3 linked regions of the Anolis sagrei genome follow. The protein of the gene in region 2 interacts with the protein of the main gene of each other region in a biochemical or structural test. Links are inferred from orthologs where the notes say so. Each region holds a gene or a part of one and is shown on either strand. Other genes may lie near its edges.

Evidence for each region.
Region 1: the proteins of SRF (region 2) and MYOG form a complex in vitro, tested with the Homo sapiens proteins (2 studies listed by BioGRID and IntAct). The link is inferred for Anolis sagrei from reciprocal best matches to the Homo sapiens genes SRF and MYOG.
Region 3: the proteins of SRF (region 2) and ELK1 form a complex in vitro, tested with the Homo sapiens proteins (2 studies listed by BioGRID). The link is inferred for Anolis sagrei from reciprocal best matches to the Homo sapiens genes SRF and ELK1.

The regions. Positions count from the first base shown.
Region 1 is NC_090024.1:206,026,030-206,033,604, reverse strand, and holds the start of MYOG (myogenin), read right to left. Parts: upstream 3,092-7,575; 5' UTR 2,947-3,091; coding exon 2,389-2,946; intron 572-2,388; coding exon 490-571; intron 1-489. UniProt on the Homo sapiens protein: Acts as a transcriptional activator that promotes transcription of muscle-specific target genes and plays a role in muscle differentiation, cell cycle exit and muscle atrophy.
Region 2 is NC_090021.1:25,542,561-25,550,160, forward strand, and holds the start of SRF (serum response factor), read left to right. Parts: upstream 1-4,556; 5' UTR 4,557-4,656; coding exon 4,657-5,163; intron 5,164-7,600. UniProt on the Homo sapiens protein: SRF is a transcription factor that binds to the serum response element (SRE), a short sequence of dyad symmetry located 300 bp to the 5' of the site of transcription initiation of some genes (such as FOS).
Region 3 is NC_090022.1:193,085,627-193,092,988, forward strand, and holds the start of ELK1 (ETS domain-containing protein Elk-1), read right to left. Parts: upstream 3,105-7,362; 5' UTR 2,890-3,104; coding exon 2,844-2,889; intron 428-2,843; exon of another isoform or gene 350-427; intron 302-349; exon of another isoform or gene 147-301; intron 1-146. UniProt on the Homo sapiens protein: Transcription factor that binds to purine-rich DNA sequences. Forms a ternary complex with SRF and the ETS and SRF motifs of the serum response element (SRE) on the promoter region of immediate early genes such as FOS and IER2.

The sequences.
Region 1 (7,575 bases), on a different chromosome or scaffold from region 2:
TTTAATTTACATGTGCTTCAAGGAGGTGTTTACATAATTTTTATTATCAGGAAGATACCTATTTTTTCCTTTTACAGGTAAGAGGTTGCTTTCTATGGCCAGAAGTAACTTTCTAGAGTCCAGACCTGCTTTTACCAGCTTTGCAGTTGCTTCTAAGTACAGATATCCCAATACTATTTGTGTTTTCCCCCGTTCTAGAACAGATCATGGTAAAATACTTCTACACATACATGCATTTTAAAGATGGAGCGGAGCAGGAGAACTTAGGATTAATAGAAGCTGGATCTACACTGCTCTATATCCCAGGATCTGATCCCAGATTATCTGCTTTGAACTGGATTATATGAGTCTAGTTAATATAGGATAAACAGATAATTTGGGATCAGATCCTGGGATATAGAGCAGTGTAGATCCTACCAGAATGGTCCTTACCTCTAAAGAGCAAAAAGGGTTAGACCTTTGTGTTCCCAGAAGACAATATGGTCTTACCTCCTGGATGAGTGTTGAACTCCAACTGGGTGCTCCATTCTGGACTGCATGAAGTGCTGCTGGGTCCATGGTCACTACCCACCTTGAATGAGAAAATGGGAGATCTTTAGTACTGGTTTCACACTTTGACTGCATTAGATTTGGGGAAAGGTGATTCTGTTTAGACCAGAACTCTCAGCATTCCTCAACCAGCATGATCATTGCAATCTCGGCTTCACCAATTAAAGGGTCTTTCACCTTCAATGAATCGAAAACAGCAACAACAACACAGAGACAAACAATTTCTGATATGGCTGTGGTTTGCTGCTGTCTTCTGAGTCTATAAAGTGCTGCAAATGTACATTACAGGGATCTCCTGTGAAATTGAATCCAATGCCAACAGCCTAGGTGAACATGTAGTAGACAGATTGAGAAGCAGACAAAGAACAGAGAATACAGCCTGCAGCTGTTCATAACTTTCCTCTGTTCTCAAACCAGGCTGGATGAACATTCCCAAGCTTGTTTTGGGCAGTATATGAACATTCAGCCTACAAAATGTGAGGACTTATTTCAGAATAAGATATTTGGAAAGAAAATGGGAAAGCCATACTATTCTTTGAAACTAAACACAACCCAAATCAAATTTATCCTACTGATAGGAGGTGAGAGGTTTTCTACCTGCTCCAAGAGTCTCGGAGGGCAAGTTTACAACATGAGATAGCAATGGCTAGTCAAAATGTCTACTGCCACTAGAGCCCTTTCACAATACATACTGTTCCACAATGGTCTTACTCATTTTGTTCAGCAATTATAAGAGAGTAGTAATCCGAAAGGATGCTTTGAAAGGAGGAGCTGTAAACATATTGGAGAGCCTTATAGGAGAAGCCCAGAATTCAATCTTGTAGTATTTTGTCCCTTAGGACTGAAGGCTTGTACCCAAATGCTCTTGTAAATCTTTAAATGGAGATACCCAGTAACCCATTTGAACTCAACAGGTGTCCAGCGTCCAAGTCCTTCCTCATTGGCATGTGTATTAGAATTCATTTCCTGAGGTACCATCTGTTGGAATAAAATCCCATCCACTAGTCACTTGGGTTATAGGGGTGATGCCAGTTTGTCCTGTGACTCATGCCCACCTTTGATAAACTGCAGTATAGATAAGGAAGGATACATCTATTCCAAAATTCTTCATTATGCAATACCCTTATTAGGCAGGTTAATACTATCACAATTCCACTATATTATGCACAACTAATTTAAAAGGAACAGACCAAGACAGTCACTGCTGCATTTATAGAGAAAAACAATATAGTAATATTCATATATTTCTGGAAGTATACCCTCTACCTGTGTCAGCTGTGAATATGAAAGCTATAAAGGACATGAAAACTGAAATGTATAGTTTTAAATGGTGGAATATTTGTGTAGAAAGAAAATAATTCTCCAGCCATATCAAATTCTGAAAATGTTCAATTCCCTTTCAGTCGCCTTAAGCCACATACATTACCAGAATACACTGGGAGACATGGTTCTTCCCAGCCCACCCACCATGGAGTACCCTATACATTACAGATTTTGAACTATAATGCTCATAATTTCTAAACCATTGATCATGTTGCCTGGGACTGATGGGGATGTTAGTCAAATATATCTGGAGACCATAGTGCACTTCTGCTATCCTTTTACAGTGTAGTAACATCTACAGAAAACTACGAATACCTTTATATGACTTTGCTTATATATGACTGTTGGAGAATAGGCAGAGTGGCAGCCAATAATAGAAGCTAGAGAGTTTGGACTTGGGAATATATTGTTGAAGGCGGTCAAGCTACTGATTCTCTAGGAAAGGCTGATGCAGTAGCTGTTTGCTGCGCTCTTGGATGACTGTGTGATGACCTGTCCCCTTCCCCTGGCACTTACCACTGGCTGGTTGTTGTTGTTACAGTAGTGTAGTTCCCGCTGGTCCCGCTCCTGTTGGTTGAGGGTACTGAGCAGAGCTTGTAAGCGTTCAATGTATTGGATGGCACTGCGCAGAATCTCCACCTTGGGAAGCCGCTGATTTGGGTTGAGTAAAGTGCTCCGTTTCAGAGCTTCAAAGGCCTCGTTGACTTTTTTCAGCCGGCGCTTTTCCCTCAGGGTGGCAGCACGGCGCCGGTCGATGGAGACACTTTTCCTCTTGCATACTTTGCATGCCCAAGGCAGGCACTGTCCAGGGCTGTGGTCTGGCAGGACTGAGGAGGTCTTCTCCTCAACCCCAACCCTGCCATCAGAGCACAGGCTCACAGCTGCTCTGTCTTGGTAGGCTGTCTGTTCATAGCCATGTAAGCGAGGGCTCAGGTAGTTCTCCCCATCATAAAACCGTTGGTCTGTGAAAAAGTATGGGTTGGTCTCTAGCAGTTCCATGGTGAGCGTCTGGCAAGGCAGAGCGTGTGTTGGGGAGTGAAACGCAGGCCTCTCACACCAACTGCTTGGTGGCATTTAAACCCTGTGCGGGCATTAAATCACAGAGATAAATATAGCAAACCTCCAGGAAACCTGAGCTTGCCCTAAGCTGCTGCTTCGCATCAAAACTTGTCCATCTGATTTCATGTACTCTCCCTGTGGGGATTAGTCTGCTGCTTGGGGCAGTGCTGTGGCTAAAGTGGGGTGGGCGGAGGGGGGAGTGGATGGAGGATCTGGCATGTGCTCCAGAGAAGTCCAGCCGCCTCTCAAACAACAGCCCCATTGGATTATTTTCACTTGCTCTCCTACAATGATATTGATGATCAGTCAGCTCCCTTAGCTGGCAGCTCTGTGCAGCATTCCTGACTCATCTGCTCCTTTCAATTACTGCTCCCTGCCAGCTTCGAAGCCATCCATCCCTTTCTGGAAAGGAGCAAGGCACAGGCATAGACACAAAGGCAGGTCCATTTGTTCTCCTCAAGCAAGGAAGAATCACTCCACTTTCCAAGACCTCATGCTCTACTTTGGCCTAGGTGGCGTGCTTAAATTTAACACCCCTTCTTTGTGGACTCTTAAGAAATTCAGTGCCTCGAACATTTTGTAAAAAGCAGAAAGTCAACAGGTGAAACTTTCCTGATGTTACAGCTCAGTAATGGAATAGTTTCACCTTTTGATTATTGCCATCCATGAGGCTGTTAAAAGTACTTTCAGTCCATAAAAAGTAGGACTCTTAGGCAAAACGAATTCTACTTCCAATCATTTCTAGCTAGATTACTGTAATGTGCTCTAGACTAGTGTATTATTAAAAAATGCCAGCAAGCCACCCTACAGCTATACCAGCATTCTTGCAAGGGTTAGATGACACAACCATGTGGTTTTTTTTTATTCAATACCATTAGTTGCCAGATAAATTCAGGGCTCAATCCAAGATGCTGATTTCATTTTTATAGCACGGAATGGTCTGAAACCAAATCATCTCCAGGACAGTCTGTTCTCATATAAGTGCCCTAGAAGCATTCATCTACATTAGCCTTTCTCAGCTCAGTGTCCTCCAGATGTGTTGGTTATGTTGAAAAAGGGAGAGATACAGATGTAGCAAAGAAAAAAAATCTATAGGGAGGAAAAAAGGGATACAAAAAATCACAGCTATACATCTCCGGTTGATAACACCTGGTAGAACAATAATATTTTTTATTTAATTGCTAGACTTTTAAAGTGGGGAATGGCCATACACACAATAGATGTATTTCCTCTCATACTAAGGAGCAATAGCTCTGAGAAGCTTGAATGATAAATAATAAATAATAATAAATAACCACAATAATAAATAATCAAAAAAGGACAACTAGAGAGCAAAAACATGGAAATGATTATTTAGCATTATTATTTCCTGATAGTATAAAGCAATGTTCTCAACCTGTGTGTCCCCAGATGTTTTTGCCTTCAAGTGGTATTTCTGGGAGTTGTGGCCAAAACACCTGGGGACCCACAGGTTGAGAACCACTGCTATAAAGAACACAGGTTTGCTTTGCAACTGCTGTTGAATGTTTAGAACAACAGAAAGGAAGGTTGCCAGTGACTAGTACCTGTGATGGCAACAGATGCCTCCAGCATCACAGACACGATGTCTCTAACCACCAGTTGCTGGGGAACGTAAATGGGAGGCTGCCACTGCATTCACATCTCACTTCACACAGTCAATTGGTTGGCCACAGTGAGAAGAGAAGGCTAGATGAGATGTCTTCCAGCACAGCTTTTATGTTTTTTCAAAGACAAGTTTTCATATATAAGGATAGGATAGAGGTAAGAACAATAAGTCAACATTATATGGTTGCCTGCATTGGCAGCAATTGCTATGCTTAGCTTTTAATGCCTAAAATTATCTTGCAAATCATGATAACTTCCTTTTAAAAGACAGATAATAGAAACAAAACTTGAGAAGGTGTCATACCTGCAGCACATGGAAAAGTTACCATGGACAGTGATCATGGTTGATGAGTGACTTGTAGTCCAAAAAGGTGAGCTTTCCAAATTTTGCATATCTGAAGATAGATATTCACAGTGCCTGTTAAACACTGTGTAAAGTTATAAGAGTGTAAATATGTCGAGTTATTTATTCATAATTTTTCTTCCACATAGACTGCTTTTATCATCCCATCTTCAAACTAGAATGGACTGAAGCTTTCCCACCTCTTCATTGGAAAAGCTTCTAGTATCATAGCTTGGAAAAGTTACTTTTTTGGATTACAACTCTTAGAATCTCCTAACCTTTGAAGGAGCTAAAGTAAAAAAAAAAGTAACTTTGATAAGCTCAATAGGACTCAATGTGCACAGAACCAGCTTTCTAAGAGTCTACCTACTTCCATCCTGACAGCTTCGTTCCAGACGAAATGCCAGCAAAGGGACTGGTCAATGGAAAGAATTTCAGCCCCCCAAAATGTGGTAATATTTTCCCTTTCAAAATCGCCCACCGAGGAGGGACTTTCTATTTTACTCACATTTCTCAGCCCACAGTCTTAATGGGGAGGGACTTTGGGCAGATTTCTAGCATGTTTCAAGTTTTCCCCTGCACAGTTAGAAATCAAACCAGCCTGTGATTCATCAGAGAAGCTTGGGCCTTTTTTGGAAGTTCATAACTGAGCTGCCAGTCAATACTGGGATTTTATGTTTAATTTTAAACAGGCCACAAATACCATTGGTTTGAGAATGTATTATGCCTCCTTTAAATTTTAGCTGTAATGAACCTAAGAACTTTTGATCGCCCTGCATACATATGTGTCACAAGAAGAACAAATATCAGATGCTAGAATGCATCATTCTAGCTCATACTAGCTTACATATATCAAAATGTCATGTAGTAGCTGCATCAGAGGACCAGAATCATGGAATAATTGTATAGAACAGTAAATCTGAGATCACAGAATGTAGGCAAACCAGCCCTGAAGCCATTCTTATCACATGACATTGTGCACATTCTGTTTGCCTCCTCACCACGATTCACTGTACCTCATTATTGACAGGCAAAATCCATCAATTGGAGGAGTCACAGGGTGATGCTTATGGAATTTAATAATCCCCTCCCCATTTTATCTTGGTGGTGTGTTAGCTAATAATGGCTAATGTTTATAAATGTCTGCTTTTATGGTGGTGATCTATCCAATTAGTTGATCACAAGCGAATCAAGTTGCAGCATTCAGTGTCATTTACCTTCCAATGTTGAAAACTTCCTTGAGTCCTCCCAAGGGTGAGGAAGGTGGTATAAAAATTGAGTGAGTAAATAAATAAATAAATAAATAAAAATGTTGCCCTTCAAATCTTCTAGACTACAATTCCCATCGACTAGGAAGCATTTTTGTTAACCATACTGGCTAGGGGTGATTGGCATTTAAGTCCAAAACATTTGGAAACATCCACTTGGAAATAGCCAAACTTTCAATCTTTTTTGTGGATGGTGTGTTTCACATTAGGTGGTTTGTTTGAAAGCAATTTTGCTGTACGTTCTGCATTTATTTCTTGCTTGTGTGTGTGTGTGTGTGTGTGTGTGCCTTCAGGTTGAGATATGGTGACCTCACCCCACATTTCATAGGTTTTTTTAAATGCAAGCAATTGTTGCGTGCTTTCAAGTCATTTTTGACAGCTACTTAAGAGAACGTATCACAGAGTTTTCTTGGTAAGAATTGTTTAGAACCAACCTAATTTGAAAGGTATATTGTGCAATACGCCATGCTGTAATTGGTGGACAACTTCTTTTGTTTGGACCCACTGGTTATACCAGGCATGGGCAAATTTGGGCTTTCCAGGTATTTTGGACCAGCTGTCAGGAATTGTGAGAGTTGAGGTCCAAAACACCTGGAGGGCAGAAGATTGCCTATGCCTGTGTTATACTAAGAGAAAACAGAATTATCAGGCCCCCTTCCTCACATTCTTGTGCCTTTTAAACAGTAGTTTCATAAGCAGTAGTTTAGGCAGGTAATATATTCCTAGTATGGGAAGAAAGTCAGCAAGAAAGTCTTGTGTGTTTAATTTCTGCAAATCATCTTGCTATCAAAGACATAATGACAGATCTAGTAAGTAAATGCATAAGGAAAAATGCCAACATTAGATAGAATCTGTGAAAATATTCTTACAATACATGTTACCCTTAAGTGGCAGATGAAAAGTAAGCTGAGCACTTGGAAAATGAAATACTGCAATATAGATGCAACTCTTATGGTTATGAAAATCCCTCTGAGTGTTTTGGAACAAGAGAAAGATAGGAGTATAACAAAGAACTTAAGATCAGGAAGAGACCTTGGCTGTTCTCTCTTGTGCAAAACCATCTATTTTAGAAATCCTCCTTTCAAGAATTTTGGGCCTTGCGGAAGAGAATGTCACCTTTCTTTTCCTTTTTTATTTATTTCTTGAAATGACAAGACTCAATGGATGAAGAAAGATCAGTGTCTTTTCATTGGTGGCACATAATATATGGAACTCTCTCCGCTTCTTTGAGGTGCTAGCTTTCAAACAGCAAATTGAAAATGTTTTCACTGTCATTCAGAGAGCATTCGAAGACATTTTTGGCTCCTTGGTTCTATAGTTTTTCTGCAGCTGGCCTCTCTGAACATTTGTGGCTACTTCTGTTTTGCAGCAGCATTTATATTGCCAGAAATAGATTGCAGTGAGGTT
Region 2 (7,600 bases):
GCATCCTTGAAGTCTGCTGGGATTTTCTCGGTCACCCACACTTTTTCTATGAGCTGGTGGAGTTGGTGTGTCAGCTCAGGTCCTCCCTCTTTGAAGATTTCAGCAGGGATCCCATCCGGTCCGCTGGCTTTGTTATTCTTCTGCTGGCTGATGGCATTGCTGACTTCTTCCAAACTAGGCGGTGCTGCAAGCTCATCCCTGGTTTGTTGTTGCGGGATTTGTGAGAGGACCTCTTCGGCCACATTGGAGCTGCGGTTCAGGAGGCTTTGGTAGTGTTCTTTCCAACGTAGTGCAATTGAGTTTTGGTCCTTCAGGAGTTTGGTTCCATCTGATGAGCGTAGAGGCTGTATGCCATGGTTTCTTGGTCCGTAGATGACCTTTGTGGCTTTGAAAAATCCTTGAGCATTATGGGTATCTGCCAGGTGTTGGATTTCTTCAGCCTTCTTTGTCCACCAGATGTTCTTGAGTTCTCTTGTCCTTCTTTGGACCTCGGCTTTTGCACTAGCGTAGATCTTTTTCTTAGCAGCACAGTTGATGTTTCTCTGCCATGTTTGGAAGGCTTTCCTTTTCTTGTCAATTAGCTGTTGGATCTCGATGTCATTTTCATCAAACCAGTCTTGATGTTTCTTGGCTTGGTATCCAATAGTTTCTTCGCAGGCTTGGATGATGGAGGTCTTCAGTTTGTTCCAATGTTCCTCAACATTTTCGGGGTGTTCTGTGGGTAGATGGTTCTTGAGTGCTGTTTGGAGATGGGCTCGTCTGGAGGGCTCCTGAAGGGCTTGGGTGTTCATTTTGCGCCTTGTCTTTCTGCCTTGGAGTCTGCGCTTGGGAGCGATCTTGATGGCCATCGAGGATCGGATTAGCCTGTGGTCAGTCCAGCAGTCGTCAGCACCTGTCATGGCTCTTGTGAGGAGCACGTCACGGCGGTCTCTGGCACGTGTGATTACATAGTCTAAGAGGTGCCAATGCTTTGACCGGGGGTGCTTCCATGATGTCTTGAACTTGTTTTTCTGGCGGAAGAGCGTGTTGGTGATGACAAGGTTGTGTTCCGCACATTTGGTGAGAAGCAGGATGCCATTCGGGTTGCTGTTTCCAACCCCGTCTTTTCCTATGGTTCCTGGCCACAGGTCGAAGTCTCGCCCGACTCTTGCATTGAAGTCCCCCAGGAGGATGATTTTGTCCTCCTTAGGTATCCCCGATAGGACGGTGTCCAGCTGACAGTAGAATTTCTCCTTGATGTCTTCGTCAGCATCTAGTGTTGGTGCATAGGCACTTATGATGGTTGCCCGTTGGTTTTTGGCAAGATTGATTCGGAGGGTTGAGAGACGTTCGTTGATGCCAGTGGGTGCTTCGGACAGATGTTTCACCAGATCATTTCTGATGGCAAAGCCGACTCCGTGCATTCTTTGGTCTTCTTCAGGCAGTCCCTTCCAGAAGAAGGTGTAGCCTCCTTTTTCTTCCTTCAGCTGTCCCTCCCCTGCTCTCCGGGTCTCCTGAAGGGCTGCTATGTCGATGTTGAAGCGTCCCAGCTCCCTTGCAATGATGGCAGTTCTGCGTTCGGGGCGTTCACTGCCACTGTTGTCCATCAGAGTCCGTACGTTCCACGTACCAAAGTTCATTTTTCTTTTTTGGCCGCGGGGTGGTGACCCCACTGGACGCGGCAGTCCAGTCAGGGATGAGAGAGGCAGACTATGTTTAGGGCACCTTTTCTAGCCCCCTCCCCATGTGGGGTGAGCAGAGTGGATCCTCAAAAGGGCTGCTCAGTCGCGGATACAGCTGCCGAACTACTCAACTGCCTCGGTCCTTGAGGTAGAACGACTGAGTCCATACCCACCGCCCATGTGCCAGTCTGTGACTAGGGGCTTCCAGATTTCACAGTCCTGCCCCCGTCGCCACTCGCTGATCGCCATGGGACTTTGGTTGGTTGGTTTTTATTTTCTTTGGAAGACGCCTGTGCGTGGGTTTTTTTAATGTGAACCCCCCCCCCCCTCTGAAATATAGGGCTGTGTGGAAAGGCCCCTACAATAAAGTTTTAGAGGTGCAACTTAGGCCCTTCGACACAGTTGTATAAAATCCCACATTGAACTGTATTATATAGCAGTGTGGACCCTGGGCCCTTCCACACAGCCCTTTATCCCAGGTTATCAAGGCAGGAAATTCCACAATATTTGAGTGTGGATTCGGATAACCCAGTTCAAAGCGGATATCGTGGGATTTTCAGCCTTGATATGGCTGTGTGGATGGGCCCCCAGAATATAAAGGCACCGGGATTGTGGCGCAGCTGGCTGAGTGTCAGCTGCATTAAGATCACTCTGACCAAAAGGTCATGGGTTCGAAGCCAGCTCGGGTTGGAGTGGGTTTCCAACCAATTGTGTAGCCCGTTGTCGACCTTTGCAACCCGAAAGACAGTTGCATCTGTCAAGTAGGAAAATTAGGTACCACCTTAAAGTGTGGGGAGGCTAAATTAACTAATTTATGAGGCCATAAAAAAAGACTTCAGCAAAGCATGCGGGGAATGCGGAAGTACTTCATCAGTGTCGCAGATGGACGATGAAAGCGACAGCTCCCTGGCAGCCAGAAAAAGTTAAATAGCCTCTGTCTATGTCTGTATATGTTGTATGTCAAATTGGCACTGAATGTTTGCCATATATGTGCACACTGTAATCCGCCCTGAGTCCCCTGCGGAGTGAGAAGGGCGGAATATAAAAGCTGTAATAAGTAAATAAATAAATAAAATCCCACAATATCTGCTTTGAACTGGGTTATCTGAGTCCACATTGCCATATAATTCAGTTCAAGGTGGGGTTTTATTCCGCTGTGTAGAAGGAGTCACAGCAGGCCCAGGCCAACTTGGACCTTCTCTTCAAGTGTTTTGAATTCCGAGTCCCAGCATTCCTAAGAGCCTCAGGCCCTTTCCTTTTCCATAAGCGGCTGAGGGGGAAAAGGAAGGGGCCTGAGGCTCTTAGGAATGCTAGGACTTGGGAGTCCAAAACACCTGGATGGCCCAAATTAACCCAGACCTGTGCCAAAGACTTCTCCTCTCTGCCCCAAATGTGAGCGCTTAAGCAGCTGGGGGGGGGGGGGGGGAGGAAGGGGCCTGAGGCTGTTAGGAATGCTGGGAGTTGGAGTCCAAAACACCTGGAAGGCCCAAATTTACCCAGACCGGTGCCACAAGTTTCTCCTCCTCTCTGCTCCAAATGGGAGCACTTAAACGGCTGAGGTGGAAAAGGGAAGGGCCTGAGGCTGTTAGGAATGCTGGGAGTTGGGAGTCCAAAACACCTGGAGGGAAGGCCCAAGTTGTCCCAGACTTGCGTCACAGGTTTCTCCTCCTCTTTGCCCCAAATGAGGAAGAACTTTCTGACTGTGAGAGCCATTCAGCAGTGGAACTCTCTGCCTCGGAGTGTGGTGGAGGCTCCCTATTTGGAAGCTTTTGAACAGAGGCTAGATGGCCATCTGTCAGGGGTGCTTTGAATGCAATATTCCTGCTTCTTGGCAGGGGGTTGGACTGGATGGCCCAGAGGTCTCTTCCAACTCTGATTCTATGAAATGTGGGCGCTAAGGGGTTGAGGGGGAAAAGGAAGGCGCCTGAGGCTGTTGGGAATTATGGGAGTTGGAGTCCAAAACACTTGGAGGGCCCATATTTACCTATACCGTTGTCACAGGCTTCTCCTCCTCTCTGCCCCAAATGTGAGCGCCTAAGTAGCAGAGGAGGGGGGAAGGAAAGGGCCTGAGGCTGTTAGGAATGCTGGGAGTTGGAGTCCACAACACCTGGATGGCCCAAATTAACCCAGACCTGTGCTAAAGACTTCTTCTCCTCTTTGCAGAAAATGTGATCGCTTAAGCAGCTGAGGGGGAAAAGGAGGAGGCTTGAGGCTGTTAGGAATTATGGGAGTTGGAGTCCAAAACACCTGGATGGCCCAAATTAACCCAGACCTTTGCCAAAGGCTTCTCTTCCTTTTTGCCCCAAATGTGAGCGCTTAGTGGTTGAGGGGGAAAAGGAAAGGACCTAAGGCTGTTAGGAATGCTGGGAGTTGGAGTCCACAATACCTGGAGGGAAGGCCCAAGTTGGCCCAGACTTCTGACACAGACTTCTCTTCCTCTTTGCCCCAAATGTGAGCGCTTAAGCAGCTGAGGGGGAAAAGGAGGAGGCTTGAGGCTGTTAGGAATTATCGGAGTTGGAGTCCAAAACACCTGGAGTGCCCAAGTTTGCCCACACCTTGTACCACAGGCTTGTCTCCCTCTGTGCCCGAAATGTGAGCGCTCTTCCCCTTTAAGAAGCAGCGCCCCCCGCTGACGTCACCGCGAAGGCCTTTTGGAATGTATGCAAATAGACCCCCTTTTCCTGCCTTCTCCCCTCCGGCCAACCGGAAGCCGAGCGGTCTCCTTTCCCCAGCCAATGGTTGCGCGGGAGCTTTGACGTAGCGGAGGGGCGGCGGCCAATGGCGTCCGAGCGGCGCCTCGCGCCATATAAGGAGCGCCCTCGCCATAAAAGGAGATCTCGACTGGCTTTATATGGGCTTTTGGAAGGAGGGAGGGAGGAGGGCAGGAAGGAAGGAGGGGGGGAGGAGGCCGGGGAGAGCGGAGGGGGCCGGGCTAGGCCGGGCCAGGCCAAGCCGGGGAGAGCCATGGCAGCGCCGGCCTCGTAGAAGGGAGAACATGTTGCCCAGCAAGGCCGGGAACGGGTCCGCCTCTGCCGCGCTGCCCCGGGGCCCGGGCATGGCCTTGCCGCGGCCGCCCTCCTCCTCCTCCTCGTCGGCCCCGCACCGCCTCCGAGGCCCCGGCAATGGGACCGGGCCGCGCTTCGACCGCGACGCCGTGCTGGGAGGCGCAGGCAGCGGCAGCGAGGGGGACTCCGACTCGGGCGAGGACGAGGAGCCGCTGGGCGACCGCCGAGGGGTGAAGCGGGCGCTCGGGGAGGTGGAGCTGGGTGCCGCGGCGGCGGGAGGAGTGGGGCAATCAGTGGCGGCGGGGCAGGAGGCGCCCTCCTCGGCTGCCCTGGCTGCGGGAGCCCCCGGAGGGGGAGGAGGGTACAGCGGCGCGGCCAGCGGGGCCAAGCCCGGCAAGAAGACCCGCGGGCGCGTCAAGATCAAGATGGAATTCATCGACAACAAGCTGCGCCGATACACCACCTTCAGCAAGAGGAAGACCGGCATCATGAAGAAGGTGAGTCCCCGCCGCTCAGGAAGGCACCCTCAAAGCCCTCCCGGCAGGTGGCCTCTCTACAGAACTAGAGTTGGAAGCCAAGGGGCAATTCAAAACCCTCCTGACAGATGGCCACTGTTTAAACAACTCCAGAGAAAGGAGGGGTTATGAAATCATACAGTTGGAAGGGACAGCCAAAGGCCAGCCCCACTCAAAACCCTCCTGACAGATGCCCAGCCAGCTCCAGTTCTATAAAAACCCGCCTGACAGATAGCCAGTTTAAACAACTCCAGAGAAAGGAGGGTTTATGAAAAAATACAGTTGGAAGGGACACCCAAAGGCCAACCCCACTCAAAACCCTCCTGACAGATGGCCAGCCAGCCCCTGTTCCATCAAAACCCTCCTGACAGATGGCCACTGTTTAAACAACTCCTGAAAAAGGAGGGTTTATAAAATCATAGAATTGGAAGGGACACACGAGGGCCAACCCCACTCAAAACCCTCCTGACAGATTGCAAGCCAGCTCCAGTTCTATCAAAACCCTCCTGACAGATGGCCAGCCAGCCTCTATTTTCGGAAGAGGGGAGTTGGAAGGGACACCTAAGGGCCATCCAGTCCAACTCCATTCAGGAAGCACTATCAAAGCCCTCCCTGCAGATGGCCACTCTGTTTAAACAACTCACAAGAAAGTGAGTTTATAAAATCAGAGTTGGAAGGGACACCCAACGGCCAACCCCACTCAAAACTCTCCTGACAGATGGCCACTGTTTAAACAACTCCAGAGAAAGGGGGTTTATAAAATCATAGAGTTGGAAGGGACACCCAACGGCCAACCCCACTCAAAACCCTCCTGACAGATGGTCAGCCAGCCCCTGTTCCACCATCAAAACCCTCCTGACAGATGGCCACTGTTTACAGAGAAGGAGGGTTTATGAAATCATAGGGTTGGAAGGGACAGCCAAGGGCCAACCCCACTCAAAACTCTCCTGACAGATGCCCAGCCAGCCTCTATTTTAGGAAGAGGGGAGTTGGAAGGGACATCCAAGGGCCATCCACTCCAACTCGATTCAGGAAGCACCATCAAAGCCCTCCCTGCAGATGGCCACTCTGTTTAAACAACTCACAAGAAAATGAGTTTATAAAATCATAGAGTTGGAGGGGACACCCAACGGCCAACCCCGCTCTAAACTCTCCTGACAGATGGCCAGCCAGCCCCTGTTCCATCAGAACGCTCCTGACAGATGGCCACTGTTTAAACAAGGCCAGAGAAAGGAGGGGTTATGAAATCATAGAATTGGAAGGGACACCCGAGGGCCAACCCCACTCAAAACCCTCCTGACAGATGGCCAGCCAGCCACTATTTTAGGAAGAGGGGGCTTCCTAAAATAATAGAGTTGGGACACCCAAGGGCCATCCAGTCAGGAAGCACCATCAAAGCCCTCCCTGCAGATGGCCACTCTGTTTAAACAACTCCCGAGAAAGTGAGTATATAAAATCATAAAGTTGGAAGGGACACCCAAAGGCCAACCCCACACAAAACTGTCTTGACAGATAGCCAGCCAGCCTCTGTTCCATCAAAACCCTCCTGACAGATAGCCAGTTTAAACAACTCCAGAGAAAGGAGGGTTTATGAAATCATACAGCTGGAAGGGGCACCCGAGGGCCAACCCCACTCAAAACCCTCCTGATAGATGGCCAGCCAGCCTCTGTTCCATCAAAACCCTCCTGACAGATAGCCAGTTTAAACAACTCCAGAGAAAGAAGGGTTTATGAAATCATACAGCTGGAAGGGGCACCCGAGGGCCAACCCCACTCAAAACCCTCCTGACAGATGGTCAGCCAGCCGCTATTTTAGGAAGAGGGGGGTTTCTAAAATAATAGAGTTGGAAGGCACACCTAAGGGCCATCCAGTCCAACTGCATTCAGGAAGGCACCATCAAAGCCCTCCCTGCAGATGGCCACTCTGTTTAAACAACTCACAAGAAAGTGAGTTTATAAAATCATAAAGTTGGAAGGGACACCCAAAGGCCAACCCCACTCAAAACCCTCCTGACAGATGGCCAGCCAGCCTCTGTTCCATCAAAACCCTCCTGATAGATGGCCACTGTTTAAACAACTTCCAAGAAAGCAAGTTTATAAAATCATAAGAGTTGGAAGGGACACCCAAAGGCCAACCCCACTCAAAACCCTCCTGACAGATGGCCAGCCAGCCTCTGTTCCATCAAAACCTTCCTGATAGATGGCCACTGTTTAAACAACTTCCAAGAAAGCAAGTTTATAAAATCATAAGAGTTGGAAGGGACACCCAAAGGCCAACCCTACTCAAAACCTTCCTGACAGATGGCCAGCCAGCCCCTGTTCCATCAAACCCCTCCTGAGAGATATCCACCCAGCCTCTATTTTAGGAAGATAATACTTGCTAAAATAATAGAACTGGCAGGGACACCCAAGGGCCTTC
Region 3 (7,362 bases), on a different chromosome or scaffold from region 2:
TGACCTCCCCTGTCTTCACTCTGTTGATTGTATTTATCATTATGATGGCACCGAATGGTGTTTGCTGTGAGGCCTCCCTGAGTCCCCCCTTGGGGGTGAGAAGGGCGGGATACAAGTATATGAAAAAAATAATAATACAGTTTTACCATTACAAAAGGCCCTTTGAAGGTAACCATAAGGCAGATGCAGTCCTCGGTGAAAATGAGTTTGACATCCCTAGGTTGGGGACTCAAGCATGCTGAGGCCACACACTAGAAGTACAACCCATGCAAGGAACAAGTGAGAAGCATGACTTATGGATACATGCAGCAGACCAAAGCATAACTAAGAGGGAAGAATAAGATGGTACTTAGAAAAAATAATTGGAAATTTATGTCATCTATTACTCCTCATATCCTGCTCATAGGCCTCAAACAGTAGTTAACATCTAAAATGGAAGCACATAGAAACAAGTCATTCCTTTGCCCTGGAAGGTCTTTGCTCTTATTCCAGTGTTGCCAGGGCAGCAGTTAACGTTACTTGACTCTATACATGTTCTGAGTCTTGCTATGACCTGCCAAAATATGAATCCCATTTCTCTCCTAGCTTCACCCCCATCCCTTTCAAAATAAGCCTTGAATATAAACTGATAGGATGCCCCGTCATAATGAGGGGCCCTGTCCTAACTATACCTATTCCCCAAAGAAAGTCTTTGAGGCAGGGAGAGTGCCCAGCAGTTTGTTGATTCTAGCTCTGGGAAAAAGGCCTGCCCCAAATCTGGAAGAGAAGAGCTGCAGGGATTGAATGAAGAACAGGCTTATTCGCCCACTCACTCCTCTCCTCCCCCCTCCCCCCAGTGAATCTCTGGATTTGGCCTAAAGAAAGGATTTTCTGGCACTGGATTTAATACAAAATCCCATCCAATGCTAATCTGGCTGTTAACGCAGAAAATGGGGGCCATGGGGTAAAGTGGGAGCAGGACAGGTGGTAAAATTGGGGAGAGTTCCCATCACCCAAGACAGAAGAGGGAGTGACCTAGAGGATAGGTAAGGGCTAGGAAAAATCCAGTGTCCTCTCTGGGTTTGTGAAGTCAAAGAATCCCTAATGATGAGGCAGATCATGGAAGGATTCAGATGTCAAACTACATCCCCTCTTCTGGAATCTACATTACCCTCAGTTAACTGTAACTCAAGCAATTGGAACACTCAAGCAACCAGCAAAAAAAATAATCAAAGAAATCCTACTTTAAATAAAAATTAGAATGCATGTATATAATACAGTAAAACTGTATTACATTAAGTTAAATTCATCTGCATTGGTCTTCATTTGCTTTTAATTACTGTATTTCAAGATTAACATCAAGTCAATACAGAATGTATAGTAGCCATGGGCAAACTTTGGCCCTCCGGGTGTTTTGGACTTCAATTCCCAAATTCCTAACAGCCTACTGGCTACTAGGAATTATGGGAATTGAAGTCCAAAACACCTGGAGAGCTTAAGTTTGCCCATGCTTGGTTTATAGTATGGGATAGTATGGGATATAGCTAGGCCTATTTTTCATACGAACTATTCAAGCAACCAGAAACTACATTTTTCCATCATTTACCAATCCCCATGGGAGCCAATGAACTGAGAGTCTACCACCTGAACATTAAGAACTTCCTGACTGTAAGAGCTGTTCAACAGTGGAACTCATTGCCTCTGAGTGTGTGGAGGCTTTTAAACAGAAGCTGGATGGCCATCTCTTGGGGTTGCTTTGTGCTTTTTTTGCATGGCAGGGGGTTGGACTGGATGGCTCATGTAGTCTCTTCCAACTCTATTATTCTATTATTGCACTTTTCATGTATGATGGGGGAGGGGGTGGACTGGATGGCCCATGAGGTCTCTTCCAACTCTATTATTCTATTATTGTACTTTTCCTGTATGACAGGGGTTAGACTAGATGGCCCATGTGGTCTCTTCCAACTCTATTATTCTATTATTGTGCTTTTCCTGCATGAAAGGGGGTTGGACTAGATGGCCCATGTGGTCTCCCAAAGCAGGGGGGTTGGACTGGATGGCCCATGAGGTCTCTTCCAACTCTATTATTCTATTATTGTACTTTTCCTGTATGATGAGGGGGGTTGGACTAGATGGCCCATGAGGTCTCCTCCACCTCTATTATTCTATGATTGTGCTTTTCCTGTATGACTGGGGTTAGACTAGATGGCCCATGTGGTCTCCTCCAGCTCTATTATTCTATGATTGTACTTTTCCTGCATGGCAGGGGGTTGGACTAGATGGCCCATGTATCCCTTCCAACTCTATTATTCTATGATTGTACCTTTCCTGTAAGACAGGGGGGTTGGACTAGATGGCCCATGCGGTCTCCTCCAACTCTATTATTCCATTATTGTACTTTTCCTGTGTGACAGGGGGTTAGACTAGATGGCCCATGAGGTCTCCTCCAGCTCTATTATTCTATTACTCTATTATTCTATTTCCTGCAGAGCGGGGGTTGGACTGGATGGCCCATGTGGTCCCTTCCCACCAGATTATCCTGTGATTGTGTACTTAGTTCTCCTCTTTGGACCCCAGGGCAGGGCACAGCCTGTAAATATGTTCACAGCCCACTCTGGCGTGGATCCCCAAGATCTGACAGCCTGCCACCCTGAAAGGCGCTCCTCTATTAGCCCTGGGTGAGACCTCTCAAAGTGAAATCCGCTTTTGATCCAAGGGGTTTTCTTTCCTTAGGTGGCGACATGTTTCCCTGCCTGTCCCACATCAAAAAAGGCAGGAGTGGAGGCGGGATTCAGGACTGTGGGAGGGAGGGAGGGAAGCAGCCTTTGGGGTCCCTCCTTCCCTCCCTCCCTCTACATCCTCACCTGTCAGCATGGCAGCAGCAGTGGCAGCAGCCCCGGGGGGCTCCATGGGGCGGGCGGGCCCCCCCCAGCTCCTCCGCTTCCGGTCTCTGGGGGCTGGCTTTGTGGGGTCCTCTCCCTCCTCCTCCTCCTCTTCCTCCTCTTGGCGGCCACTTTGGGATGGGAGGCTGGGAGAGCTTTCTTCCCAGTGCCTGCGCCCTCTCTGGACAGCTCCTTCCTCCCAGCTGCTGTCCTCTGGCAGGAGGCGGGGTGGGTTGGGGGGGGGGGGGGAATGGGGAAGGTGTGGGGAGGGAGAGAGAGAGAGAGAAAGAGGGGGCGGGCCCTCTCCTCCTCCTCCTCTTCGCCTTCTTCTTCTTCCTCCTCCTCTCCTCCTCCTCCTCCTCCTCCTCCTTCCTGCCGCCGGTGACCTCTTCGGAGGAGATGCCGCGCTGACGGCGCCCGTCACATGGAGCAGGCCGAGAGGCGGGCCCAACTACCACGACGACGCCTCCTCCTCCTCCTTTGACTGGATGGGAGGAGGAGGAGGAATCAAAGAACGTGGAGTGACCCCAAGGGCCACCCAGCCCGAGCCCATCCCGCCCAGCCAGGCGGGAAGACCCAATCAAAGCACTCCCAGCAGAGGGCCATCCAGCTCAAGACTCGTGGGAGGGCCCACAGGCCGCGCGAGGGGAGCGGGGCAGAGGTGTGGGTGCGGAACCAAGGGCCCAGCTCTCGCCCCCTCGCCGCCCTCCGCGCGCCCCCGCGGTTGCCACGGCGACGCAGGGCAAGATGGAGGAGATGAAAGAGAAGGCGGGGGAGAGGTGGAGGAGGCGGCTGCTGCTGCTGCCATGGTAACCCCTGCTCCCCCCCCCCGGGACACGCAGCGTCGAGGGGCTCCACACCTCCCAGGCCCCGCCCCCTGTTACTATGGGAACTAGGCCTCACCAAGGCGGGGAAGGCTTTGGCCCTGTAGGGGGCGCCACACTTCCCATCCATAAAGGGCACCAAAGGCTGAGCAACCAGTGAGTGGGTTGGAGCCTTAGCTGAGGGACTCCTAGGCAAGCTGCTGTATTATAGGCCCGGCCTAGCTCTTGAATTGGAGCCCCCATTGGCGCAGTGGGTTAAACCCCTGTGCCGGCAGTACTGAAGACCGACAGGTCGCAGGTTCAAATCTGGGGAGGGGCGGATGAGCTCCCTCTATCAGCTCCAGCTCCTCATGCGGGGACATGAGAGAAGCCTTCCACAAGGATGATAAAAACATCAAGCGCAGTGGGTTAAACCCCTGTGCCGGCAGGACTGAAGACCAATAGGTCGCAGGTTCGAATCTGGGGAGAGGCGGATGAGCTCCCTCTATCAGCTCCAGCTCCTCATGCGGGAACATGAGAGAAGCCTCCCACAAGGATGATAAAAACATCAAGCGCAGTGGGTTAAACCCCTGTGCCAGCAGGACTGAAAACCGACAGGTCGCAGGTTTGAATCTGCGGAGAGGTAGATGAGCTCCCTCTATCAGCTCCAGCTCCTCATGCGGGGACATGAGAGAAGCCTCCCACAAGGATGATAAAAACATCAAATCATCCGGGCATCCCCTGGGCAACGTCCTTGCCAATCCTCTCACACCAGAAGCAACTTGCAGTTTCTCAAGTCGCTCCTGACACGAAAAAAAAAAAAAAACCTTTGCTCTGAGCACTAAACATAAAACCAAGCTCGTATTCCTGGTGTGTGTTCAGATAGGGCGCACATGTCAAACGCAAGGCCTGCAGGCCAAACCTAGCCCACCACTTAATTTTATGTGGCTCATGAAGCTTTCAGTGCCAGGGCAACATAGTTACATTTATATAGTCTTACAATTACAAGCCACCCTTTGAAGGCAGCCGTAAGATTTATGTAGCCCTCAGTAAAAATGAGGTTGACACCCCTGAGATAAGGGTTCAGGCCATGCTCCTAAATCAGCATTTGTAATGGCTGCAAGACAATGGTTCAAATCCTGCTCCTGAGGCAAGTCATGCACCCTCAGCCCCAGAAAACCCCATGACTGTGGGATTTTATTTGGCTGTGTGGAAGGGGCCAAAGTCACTATAAACCAGAAATGACATCTGGGCTGTTAGTGGCTGCCATGTCAATTCCCAAACCTAAAACCTATCAAGGAGTACAATTGAGTTAAAGGATCCTGCCTGAGCTCTTAGATCCTCGGAGGAGGCTCTCCTTTCACCCTTGCCATTATCACAGGCTCATCTTGTAAGCACAAGGGAGAGAGCCTTCTCCTCTGTGGCCCCCCAACTCTGGAACTCATTGCCTGGTGAAATTAGGAAGGCCCCCACCTTAGAAATTTTCAAGAGGGATCTCAAAACCTGGCTTTTCCGATGCACTTTTGGAGAGTAGCCATATTATCATACACAGTTGCTCCCCCTCAACGGTTTTGTCCCCAGAGTATATTTCCCCACCTATAGAAAGGTCTATATTTATGAGCCAGTTCCTTTATGAGTTTCTCCCTCAGAAACAATCTGCTCCATCCCTGTCTCATCCTGATTTTAGTATTTTTAGTATCTTAGTTTTTATCTTGCAGATGCATCCCACTCTTTGTTATTTTATTTTATTTCATTGTGTATGATTTTGTTTTATCGTTTTTTGTACTCATATGTTGTATGCATTTTACCGTGTTGTTGTGTTTTGGTTTCACTTTATTGTAATATGTTGTTGGGCTTGGCCTCATGTAAGCCGCCCTGAGTCCCCATTGGGGTATTAAATAAAGTTTTATTATTATTTATTAAAGCATTTCAATAATGAAGTTCCAGAAGCGGAGAAACTAAGGACCCTTCCAGACAGGCTCTTATATCCCAGGATCGGATCCCAGATTTTCTGCTTTAAACTATATTATATGAGTCCATACTGCAAAATAATCTGGGATAAACAGAAAACCTGAGATCAGATCCTGGGATATAGGGCCTGTCTGGAAGGGCTCTAAGGCCCCTTCTACACAACTAGATACTTAGTTGTGTAGAAGAAACCCAGGCTATTTGCTTTGAACTGGATTATCTGGCAGTGTAGGCTCAGATAATTCAGTTCAAAGTAGATAATGTGGAATATCTGCCTTGATATTCTGGATTATATGACTGTGTAGAAGAACCCTAAGATCTTTCAGATGTTGCTGGACTGCAGCCTCTGCCATCCCTGAGCACTGGTCATACCAGTTGGGGGGCTAAGTGTTATTTGAAGGAACATTTGAGTTCCAGTGCCTTATTTCTAGAAACTAAGTTCTGCGTTTACAAAGTATGGTGGGTGATGACCAGGATTACATCTCATTTGGTGTGTATTTTAATGGACAGTTTGAAGGTGGTTAGAAATATTCAAGTCCATAAGGAAACATTATAGGGTTTTCTTCCAGTTCTGGACTAATTTAGTAGCCTGTTACTAGTGAGGGTAATGCACTTTCCATAAACTCACTTCATTTTTTTTAATTCCAGGCTTGAAAACAATAAATCCTTCACAGGAAGAAAACATATTGCTAACAGAAGTTACCCACATTTTCTTTGATGACAAAACTGCATTTTAAAGCAAACTTTTCATCACTGAATTCAAAGGGAGTGGCCCCAAGATAAGTGCAGGTAATACCACTGATTACGTTATGAAATAAACAGATGTTCTGCTAATAAAGGCAATCTCTTTTAAAGACACAGAATGCACTGAAATCATCTCTCCACGTATCTTGGAAAAGGAATTTGAAGTGTGTGGGACTAGGAGCTATTTGATCTTGTTAGCTATGTTGTGTTTAATGATTAAACATTGGTTCTAGATACTTAGTGTTATACTGTAGTCTACATGGGGGACAAGGAAGAAATGCCATAGTTGAACGAAGCATAGGTTTAACTTCTTAAGAAATGATAACTTGTTAGTGCTTTTTCTATTGAATTATTTACTTTTTGCTTTTTCTTATTTTATTATAACACATTGAGTGCTGCTCTTCAAGTTGTAGCTGTAAAATCAACTTAATTTAAAAAAAAATCAGGAAATATAATAAAATTTGACAAACATAAATGCAGCAGCCCCATATGGCACATTCTATAATGTTGTCTTATTTAAAATATTAATCAAATATTTGGACTTATTTTCTCTAAACCTGCCTGGTCACTGACTCTAGCAATAGTAGTGTTTTCCCTACATTATTTAGCAACATTTTAGTGGGTTTTTTTAATATATATATATATATATAACCTGTCTTCAAGATAATTGGCATGGATGACCATTTTCTTTGTCCCAATACTTCTGTTGGCTGGAGATGAGGAGATTTAGTTCCACACTTCCAGTGAACATCAAGTTGGAAAGGCTATTCTAAGATGTACATTTACTTGACTTATCCCCACCTTTCATGACTATATGCTCAGTACCAGAATGTCCCTTTACATGTCATTAAACAGAATAAGAAAAAAAAGATGACAAATTCCAATCTATACAGTTTATTGTAGCACATACAATACCTTTGCTTTTTCACTGAACATTGGTAGAAATGAAAAAAGTCTAGGAAGGGTAAGATCATTTAACAGGTTGT